Linked DNA regions of Canis lupus familiaris. The protein of the gene in region 2 interacts with the protein of the main gene of each other region in a pairwise test. Links are inferred from orthologs where the notes say so. Each region holds a gene or a part of one and is shown on either strand. Other genes may lie near its edges.

What was found.
Region 1: the proteins of TRIM21 (region 2) and TXN2 interact in binary tests that used the Homo sapiens proteins (3 or more experiments, as listed by UniProt). The two-hybrid records come from large-scale screens. The link is inferred for Canis lupus familiaris from reciprocal best matches to the Homo sapiens genes TRIM21 and TXN2.

The regions. Positions count from the first base shown.
Region 1 is NC_049231.1:28,946,620-28,951,082, reverse strand, and holds the start of TXN2 (thioredoxin, mitochondrial), read right to left. Parts: upstream 2,933-4,463; 5' UTR 2,776-2,932; intron 2,010-2,775; coding exon 1,756-2,009; intron 1-1,755.
Region 2 is NC_049242.1:26,906,833-26,911,180, forward strand, and holds the start of TRIM21 (E3 ubiquitin-protein ligase TRIM21), read right to left. Parts: upstream 2,926-4,348; 5' UTR 2,807-2,925; intron 1,795-2,806; 5' UTR 1,748-1,794; coding exon 1,340-1,747; intron 853-1,339; coding exon 727-852; intron 1-726. UniProt on the Homo sapiens protein: E3 ubiquitin-protein ligase whose activity is dependent on E2 enzymes, UBE2D1, UBE2D2, UBE2E1 and UBE2E2.

The DNA.
Region 1 (4,463 bases), on a different chromosome or scaffold from region 2:
CAAAGGTCCCAGGCTTCTAAAACACAAGTCCTCATTGGAAGACGCTGATAAAGGTTATTTCAGCACGCGTAAGAGAAATACACCACCGCACAGAAAAATATGAAAGTTGAAGTTAAAAGGTTTGGGTTCCAAAAGGGACTCCTCACCAACCAGCTGACTGTTCTAGAGTCTCAGTTTCCTCTTTTGAATAAATGAGATTATGTCTCTCAAAGCAGTGATGAGGCTGTGGAGTTATTTCAGACAACCTCATGGACCCAGAACTACAGGGAGAAGCCAGTGCCAGGGGGAGTCTACAACATGCTCGTCGCTATGCTGGGACCTTCTCACCTTTTACTGCCCAGAACCCTCAACCCCACAAAGGAAAACACCTTCCTAAGAAATGAAGGATCCTACAAGTTAAGGAACTCATGGCAAGGTCCCAGAGCTGGTTAGAGGCTGGTGTTGCGTTCCAAATGTCTTCTTTCATCACTGGGTTATCCTGTGTCCTCCCCCAGGCCCTGGGTCAGCTGTTAGCACTGCACCGATCACAGGTGCTCCCCTCTGGGTGGTGAGCCCTGTGAGGACAGGTGGTATGGATAGTGCCGGGCACTGAATGAACAAACTCACATCTTACTTTGTCAGAGAAGAAAATGAGGCATAATCCCATTTATCATTCATTTTGGAAGTCCTCTCTGGAGTGCTCACTATACCACGATGGGAGAAGGCTCTGCCTGCCATGAACCCCTGGCCCATGATGGTTATTTTAGTCTCAGCCTTTAAAACGCTTTACATTTAGAGATTTCAATTAATGAACTCACAAGTTTGCAACACCTCATCTCCTATTATAAGTGAAGAAAGGGAGGCATGAGGACATCAATGGCCAGCCCAAGGCAACATGGTGAGTGAGAGAAAGAACAGGAAAGAAAGCAAAACAATCTGTCAGAGATTTGCCCAGAAGGCCTCCCAACGTCTAACCCAGGCTACACCAGGATGCCTCAATCTGAGGGGTTTGTCCAAGTTCTTTTGTAGCTAGGTGGCTAGTCGGGACCCAAAGTCCAGAAATGAAAAAGGCCAAGCTAACAATCAGGTGGCTAGAAGCATTGAACTACCCCTACAACAAACTTACATACAGCACTGAAAAGAAAACCCTGCCCATCCCCTGCGTGCTTGGGCACCACTGTGGTGCCACTGATAACTTTTTGCCAGCCCTTCCCAGTTTTGGTGGCAAGATGTTAAAAATCAACTCATCCGCAGGGTCAGGAACTGGTATACACCCAAAGCCAGAAAATGAGATAGTTAGTCCTATTTTTCTTGCTTTGGTCCAAGCTGAATGGGGACTCTCAGCCATTTGGGCAGCAAGACACAGAACATGAGTGTTTCTCAGCTTGCTCCAGTGACAGTGAGCTCTAAAGACTGTTGACTGGTCTGTGTCCTATCAGACTACACTCCATCTCTGAGAGCCAGGACTGGGTCTTACCCGTCTTTGTAATGAGACTATGCACGTGAAGCATCAGACGTGGGACTGAGACATGACAGCTACTCAATAAATCACTTTTTTTTTTTTTAAGATTTAATTATTTATTCATGAGAGACAAAGACAGAAGCAGAGACACAGACAGAGGGAGAAGCAGGCTCCTCACAGGGAGACTCCATCCCAGGACCTAGGATCACGACCTGAGCCGAAGGCGGATGCTCAACCACTGAGCCACCCAGGTGTCCCTACTCAAATTCCTGAACAAGTAGCACCACGTTCTTCTGCTGACCCCCAGGACTCACTGTGCATGGAAGTCCACAACCACTGGTGTTTCGCTGTTGACAACTCGGTCTTGAAAGTCAGGTCCATCCTGGATGTTGAAGGTCGTTGTGCAGACTCTGGTGGTGTATATTGACCGGGCTTGGGTGGGTGTTGCTGTCAGGTGACCAGGGCTGCACGGCAGGGCCCTGCAGGTGAGAGGTGCCCATCGACCCTGAGGGGGCTTCCTGGAGATGACGGAGGCCAGGAACCTCCTCAGGAGAAGTCGCTGAGCCATCTGTGAGGGGGAAAGGCAGAAAGTTCGGGAAGCCAATTCACCAGGAAAAGAAAGGTTATTTGGGTGGTCCTGGGGGGAGAGGGGCGCCTCAGGATTTCCGGGCCTGAACAAAAATGCCAAGAAATGACATATAAGATTTTGAGAGTAGAGGTTAAGCGAAGCATCAGAATCAAAAAGCAGAAGCAATCCTACACCAGGACAGGAACACTGGGCTGGCAATCAAAAAGCAGTCGGGATATGGACGGGACTGGATCAGAAGGGAGGGCGGGAGCTCCGCTGGTGGAGCCCCTGCTGGGGCAAGGGCAGCCGCGCCCTCCCGCGCCCGCGCGCCCGTCCCCCGGGGTCACCCGCGGGCAGCCGGGCCCTACCCCGGCGACGAGCCCGGGCTGCGCGCGCAACCAACCCAACTACTAAAGGAGCGTCAACACTGGAACCCAAGGCCGTCTGCAACTCTCTATCACTCGTTTAGGAGGCCTTCTGACGGGAAATTAAGGGGAAAGGGGGTTGTCCAAGGATCAGAAGAGGAATCGCAACAGCTCGAGGGGAACGAAGGGGCTCGGCAACAGGAGGGAGTGTGGGGTCCTAAAAACCAAGGGACGTGTCTGACGGACTGAGTCCGACGCCACCGGGGATCCCGGCTCCGCGGGGGGCAGGTCCCCCCGCCGCCCGGGGCCTCCGCCCGCTCGGCCGCCGGCCAGCGGAGGAGAAGGCCCGGAGCGTGTCTCCGCCGCGACACCGCCTCGAGCCACCCCCACGAGCCTCCTACCTCCCTGCAGCCCGAGCGGAGGGATGCACTCACTGCCCGGCCCTCCCCGCCAGTCAAGGGCACGCCCTTCGTCACTTCCGGGGGGAGGGCCTTTCGAACGTCACTTCCGGGGACAGGCAACCCGGAACGCTTCTCTCCGCAGCTTGAGGGGTGGCTTGGATTTCCCACCAATGGGGATGGCGGGAGACGGCACAGCGGAAGGGGTGGAGCCTCAGTTAGGGACCGGAAGACGGGCTTCTGGTGGGGGAGGGGAAGAGAAAACGGAAGAGGAGGCGGGTTCGCAGGGGGAAGGACCGGAAGAAGGGGCGGGCCCTCGGGCGCCCGGAAGAGGGGTGGCCCTCGGGGGCGGGGCCGGAAAAGGCGGGCGGGTCCTAGAGGAGGGTCCGGAAGAGGGGGCGGGGGAGGAGTCCACGAGCGGAAAGGGCGGGAGGGGGCGTGGCCCCGGGCGCTGCAGCTCCTGGGCCGCCCCCCTCTGCCTCGGTGCCCTCCGGAAACTGGAGGAGCCGAGGACCCCCGCCCCGTTCCGGGGAAGGCAGGCTCGGTTCCGGAGGCGGAGTGCTGGCTGCGGGCTAAAGACCCCGAGGAAGGAGGATGCTCCGGCACGACCCCGAGGTTTCGGGCAGCCGCCCTGGCGGGGGCCCTGGCGGGGCCGCTGTGCCCAGTCGGTGACCTGGCCAGCTGGGCTTGCCTCCAGCCGGTCTCTGGGAGTCGCTGGGGCCCGGGTCTGTCCAGGGGGCCAGGCGGTGGCGGTGGTGCGGGGAGGGCCACGCGGCCCCGGGGACTCGCTGCGGCCCCGCCTTCCCCGCACCCGCCGTCGCTGCGGTGGACCCCGCCGGACCCCGACATCGCCACCCCGCGAGGCCTCGCCGATCTAGGACCATCACTGCCTTTTCCTTCCCTGACTGCTTAACCCGAACTGCCTTTGCGGGGGCGCCCGGTGGCTCGGGCGGCTAGGGTCGGCCTGGGGCTCAGGACACGATCTCAGGGTCCTGGGGTCGAGTCCCGCCTCCGGCTTCCTGCCCGGCCCGGAGTCCAGTCCGCTTCCCTGCCTGTGCTCTGGCAAAAAGAAATAAGAACTTTAAAAAGAGGAAGAAGAGATGCCTTTTTTCTCTCTCCACTGGGTGGAACACCTACTCATCATCACTTCTTTGAGCAGCGTTACTTGCCTCCTCGTTTTAGGGCTTTGTTCCTGACTCTCGCGTATCCGTCCTTGGTGCCATCTCTTCCCCCAGACCACAGGCTTCCTGACAGTAGGAGTTCGTGGCTCTTACTTGACTCCCCGAGCCCCGCAATCTGATACAGTGCCTGGCTCACAGGGGATGTTCCCGAGAAGCTTAGTAAACAGAATCTCAGGGAAAGGTTTACAGAAAGGTTACGGACTTGTCCAAAGTCAGGGGGCAGGAGAATAGGCAGAGCCCCGTCTCACACCTCCAGTGGGAACCCCTTAGAGCTCCAGGGTTTGCTTAAATGTCTCTCCTGTCCCTGAATGTTGCAGTTGCTGCGACGGCTGGAAGGGGATTCCCTGTACTCTCCATGGGAGAAAATGCCACCAGATGCCGGACGAGCATCATCTTTGGAGACCCTTCCCTGAGCCTCCTTGAGCGGGAGAGATGCTCTTCTCCAAGCTTCCCTAGCCCCTGTGCACCTTATCAATCATCACACTCAACACGCTGCGGTTACTGTCTCTT
Region 2 (4,348 bases):
CGATGTGCCCAAATCTGTCTTCATATCTTAGTGAGTTCCTGAGAGAGTAACACCTGTCCCCACCCCAACAACCATCCAAACACAGGCTCATAACACTGTTCCCCAGGCCTGAGGAAAAGGAGTTTTGGGGATAATCTTGGCTGCTCTTCTGTTAGTGACTGGAAGGTCACCGATGGCACAGGATGAGTCCTTTTGCCACCACAGCCTGACTCACCCTTCTCTGATCCCAAATCTTCCTTTCTGGGCTCTATTGGCCATGAGTTCCCTCCATGCCCTTATAGATACAGAACAAGCTTTATTCTCCATCCTACTTTGGACCAGTGATCTGAACACAGTCAGAAAAACCAGCATGACCAGATAGTTGCCTATGTCTGACCTGGATTGTTCCCTTAAGTCTGTACCTCCTGACAGGCCTAGCCATTGGGCATCTCTCCTGAGAGACCACTGACCAGACATGGAGGCAAAGGTGCCGTCATGTTTTAAGACTAGGCTTAAGGAGCAGGAGCTTTAGGGTATGGCTTGTACCTCTCCGAAGGGTATGGCACCTTCTCCTAAGACTCTTGATTTTGCTATCTGATCTGAGCTCTCTCCTTTTTATTCACCTCTATCAAGAGACCTAGAGGACAGCTGGTTCATGGTGAGTGAGATATATTATCACTCCTCAGATGGGCATAGCTATGCTTAGGGTTTGAGTCTGGGGCCCTGGACTCTGCCCTGGCTTCTGACCTGAGATTCCCTTTGGAGCACAACACTTGCCTTCCAGGCTGCTCTCTTCATTGCAGTATTCACTTCCAACTCCTCAGCCAACTTTTGTTCTTTTCTCAGTTTCCTTAATGCCACCTTAAGCTTCTCCTGCAGAGAAAGGTAGGTTAGCGCCCGACCAGTCCAAGAAGTAGGGTGAGGCGCCATGAAGACATGCTGGTTCTTTGAAAAACTTGAGTGCAGAGAAAGAGGGAAGACTACAGTCTGATTGGGATAGAGATTCTGGGGATGGGAAGACTTTGGCAAGAGCCTGAGGTTTCTTTCAAAACACAGCCACGCTGTTGGAGGTGGTGGTGTGGAGTTGGAGCATTCCTCATTCCTAATTAACCAGAAGGCCACAAGGAAGTGTGATCCTTGCAGCGTTTTCCCAAGCGTACTCCCTGGTCCTGGGGAATGAGAAAGCTGTCCTGAGCTTGCAGTTCTCTGCTTCAATTAGACCTGGAAGGTGGGAAACCCCTTCCTTTTCCCAACCCTGAAACTCCACAGGTGACTTTGCCTCCCTCACTCTGGAGAACAAAACCCCAAGCACGGACCCAGCTCCCTTCTACTTGGTCAGGCCTCTGTGCTAAGTCCTTACCTGGTATTCCTGAGCAGCCTCCTCGACAGGGACCGTTTTGTGGTTACGGTGGTTCTGGGACTGGGAACATACCCAGCAGAGGATCTTCCCATCTTCCTCACAGAACAGGTGCAGTCTCTCTCCATGTACCTGACACCATTCCCTCTGTGTGACTTCATTGGCATTCTGGCCAATTTGTTTAAGGTTGTCCACCACGTTAGCCAGTGGCCAATTGGGCCGGAGGTTTCGGAGCAAGAAGGTGTGCTGACACACAGGACAGACGCCGCCACCATCTTTCCCCACCTCAGAGATGCATTTGTGGCAGAAGCTGTGGCCACAGTCAATGCTCATAGGCTCCACTACAGGATCCAGGCAGATAGGGCATGTGACCTCCTCCCACATCATTGCCAAGGGCATTGCTGCAGCCATAGGGGTGATGTTCTTAGTAAGCAGCACTGTGGAGATCCTGGGGTACCCTGGTGGGGAGAGGAGAGAGGGAAATGAGCAGAAGAGAAGGGTTGTGTGAGAAGAAAAACAATCCAAAGGAAAACACAAGGAACAGTGAAGTGGAAGGGGTGAAAACAACACCAGAACATTAACTTGAATAATAAGAGCTTCTCCTCTCTAGTCTCATCCACTTACCTAGTCAGACAGAAGGGGAAACTGAGTCCCCCAAAGAAACTGAATGTTGTTGAGAACTTCAGAGATAAAGCTGTTTATAACTCTATTTTCATCATGGCCCTCTCTGCTTCATCCTCTGTCCCAGGCTTTTCCTGTCCACTCTCTGCCCTCTCAGGTCACCAGTCCGCTGCTGAGCAGCTCATCTGTATGACAGGGACCATGTACTCTGTACACTCCATAAGCCAGAGAAGGTGCTACCTGCTTTGGAAATATCTTCATTATCTGCACAATAATCACAGGAGTTACTTCTATATCTGTGATTATATACATAAGAATATATTTCTACATATCTGTCTGTATGTATATATACCTGCAGGTATATGTGTGCATATGGGTACCTGTATATGTTTATATGCGCACATGAACAGTGCCTGAGCACTCCCTGGGCTCTCCTCTCCCTTCTGGGAACCTGGTAGCTGGCTTCATTGCCTCTGGGGCACAGACCCACAGGTTTCTAGCGTCTGAAACTGTCCTGCCCCCTCTCACCCCCAGAGGAGAAGTGTCGAGGGGAGTGCCCGGACTACACTCCGGGCTGGGCTAGGTTTCTGCCCCGGTGCCCCCCGCTTAGGGCAGCGCCCCCGGGGGCTTGGGTGTCACGTTCACATTTGGGGCCCCGTCCCAGGCAGGCTGCCAGCCCGGGAGGAACTGCTGGGGCTGGGGCTGGGACTGGGGCTGGGACTGGGGCTGGGGCTGGGCTAGCCCTGGGGGAACCGGGTCTGCAGGCCCCAGGGGCGAGGACTAGATGGGGCAGGGGAGAGAGGTCCCCCAGCCAGGGCGGGGGCACTCGGGTCGGGGCGAGTCACTCACCTTTTCAGGGCTTTCGGCAGCCGGCGGCAGGCTCCCTATTTCACTTTCGATTTCCCGTCGAGGCGTGTCCGAAGGGGGTGGGCCGAGGGGCGGGGAGTGGGAGGAGAGGGAGGCGCGAGGGGCGGGGGAGCAGGCGGGGCAGCTCGGGAGCCCCAGGCGGCAGGAAGTCCGAGCTCCGCAGCGTCAAGTCCTTGCTTCGCGTCCCCTCCCAGGTCCTCGGGGTCAAACAAGAAAATATCGCATCCACGGTGGAGGGGTCACGCTGCCTCCTCGGACACTGGTCGTCTCGCTCCACACCTACGTGCTGGGCGACGCCCACGAGTGGGAGCTGCTCTCAGGGAGTTAGGGAGGGTGGGATGGCGACAACGTGCCTGGGGCTCTCCCTTACGTGTCACCCTCTGCTTCCAGAAACAAGTCCTTTTCAGGAAAGGCTTGATAGTCTTTTAACATCAGCTGGTGAGGGATTTATGTACAGCACGATCCCAAGGCAGGTGTCATACCAGTGAATGGTAAGAAGAGAATTGACATTTATTAGGCACCAACGGTGTACTTGTCACTGAGCTAGGGATTTTCTGAGGTTTTCTTTTTTTTTTTTTTTAAATTATGGTAAAACATATGTAACAAAATTTACCATTGTAACAATTTTTAAGTATATAGTTCAGTGGCATTAAATGCATTCACATCATTGTATCCCCATCCGCACCACTCATACGACTTGTTTCATCTTGCCAAACTGAAATTCTGTTGCCTGTTAAACAGTATGTTCCCTCAGCACCCAGCAGCTACATTCAATTTTCTGTCTCTACGAATTTGACTTCTTTAGGTGCCCCCAACGTAAGTGGAATCATATAGTATTTGTTGTTTTGTGACTTATTTCACTTAAAAGGTCCTCAAGGTTCATCCATGTTGTACAAGCATGTGACAGGGTTTCCTTCCTTTTAAAGGCTGGATAATGTTCCAGTGTTTGTATATGCATTTTGTTTATCCACTCATCTGTGAATGGACACTTGGGTGACTTCCATCTTTTGACTCTTGTGAATACTGTTACTGTGTCAGGTTACATATTTAAGCCACATAACGATTTAGTGATTTAGGAGATGTTAAACTCACATTCCAGGAGAGGGCATTGAGTCTGAATGGAGTAAAATGACTTGAGACATAGTAAGAGGTGCATGAGAGTTAAAGGTCTAGGGAAGACCGTCATTTTAGTGACAGCCCAGAGATAACAGGCTGCCCTGTCAACTCAAGCAGAGACTGTGAGGAGGAAGGAGAAACAAGGAAGGGTGAGGAGACTAGAATTCTCAATTCCTTCCGACTCAGACATATTTATTTTTGTCCCTGTATACCTTAAGATAAAAACATCAGTTGAACTTTGCTTAATGTTTTCTATAGATTTAGGAAACCTAAAGATACTTCATCTTTCTTTCAAATTTCCAGTTCTGTTTTTAAGAGAATTTGTAAGTGGGTGGTTATCAAGTGACCTCTAATATTCAAATTGTATCACTGTACTGATTTGATTCCAGGAACATAGTCCCAGAAAGC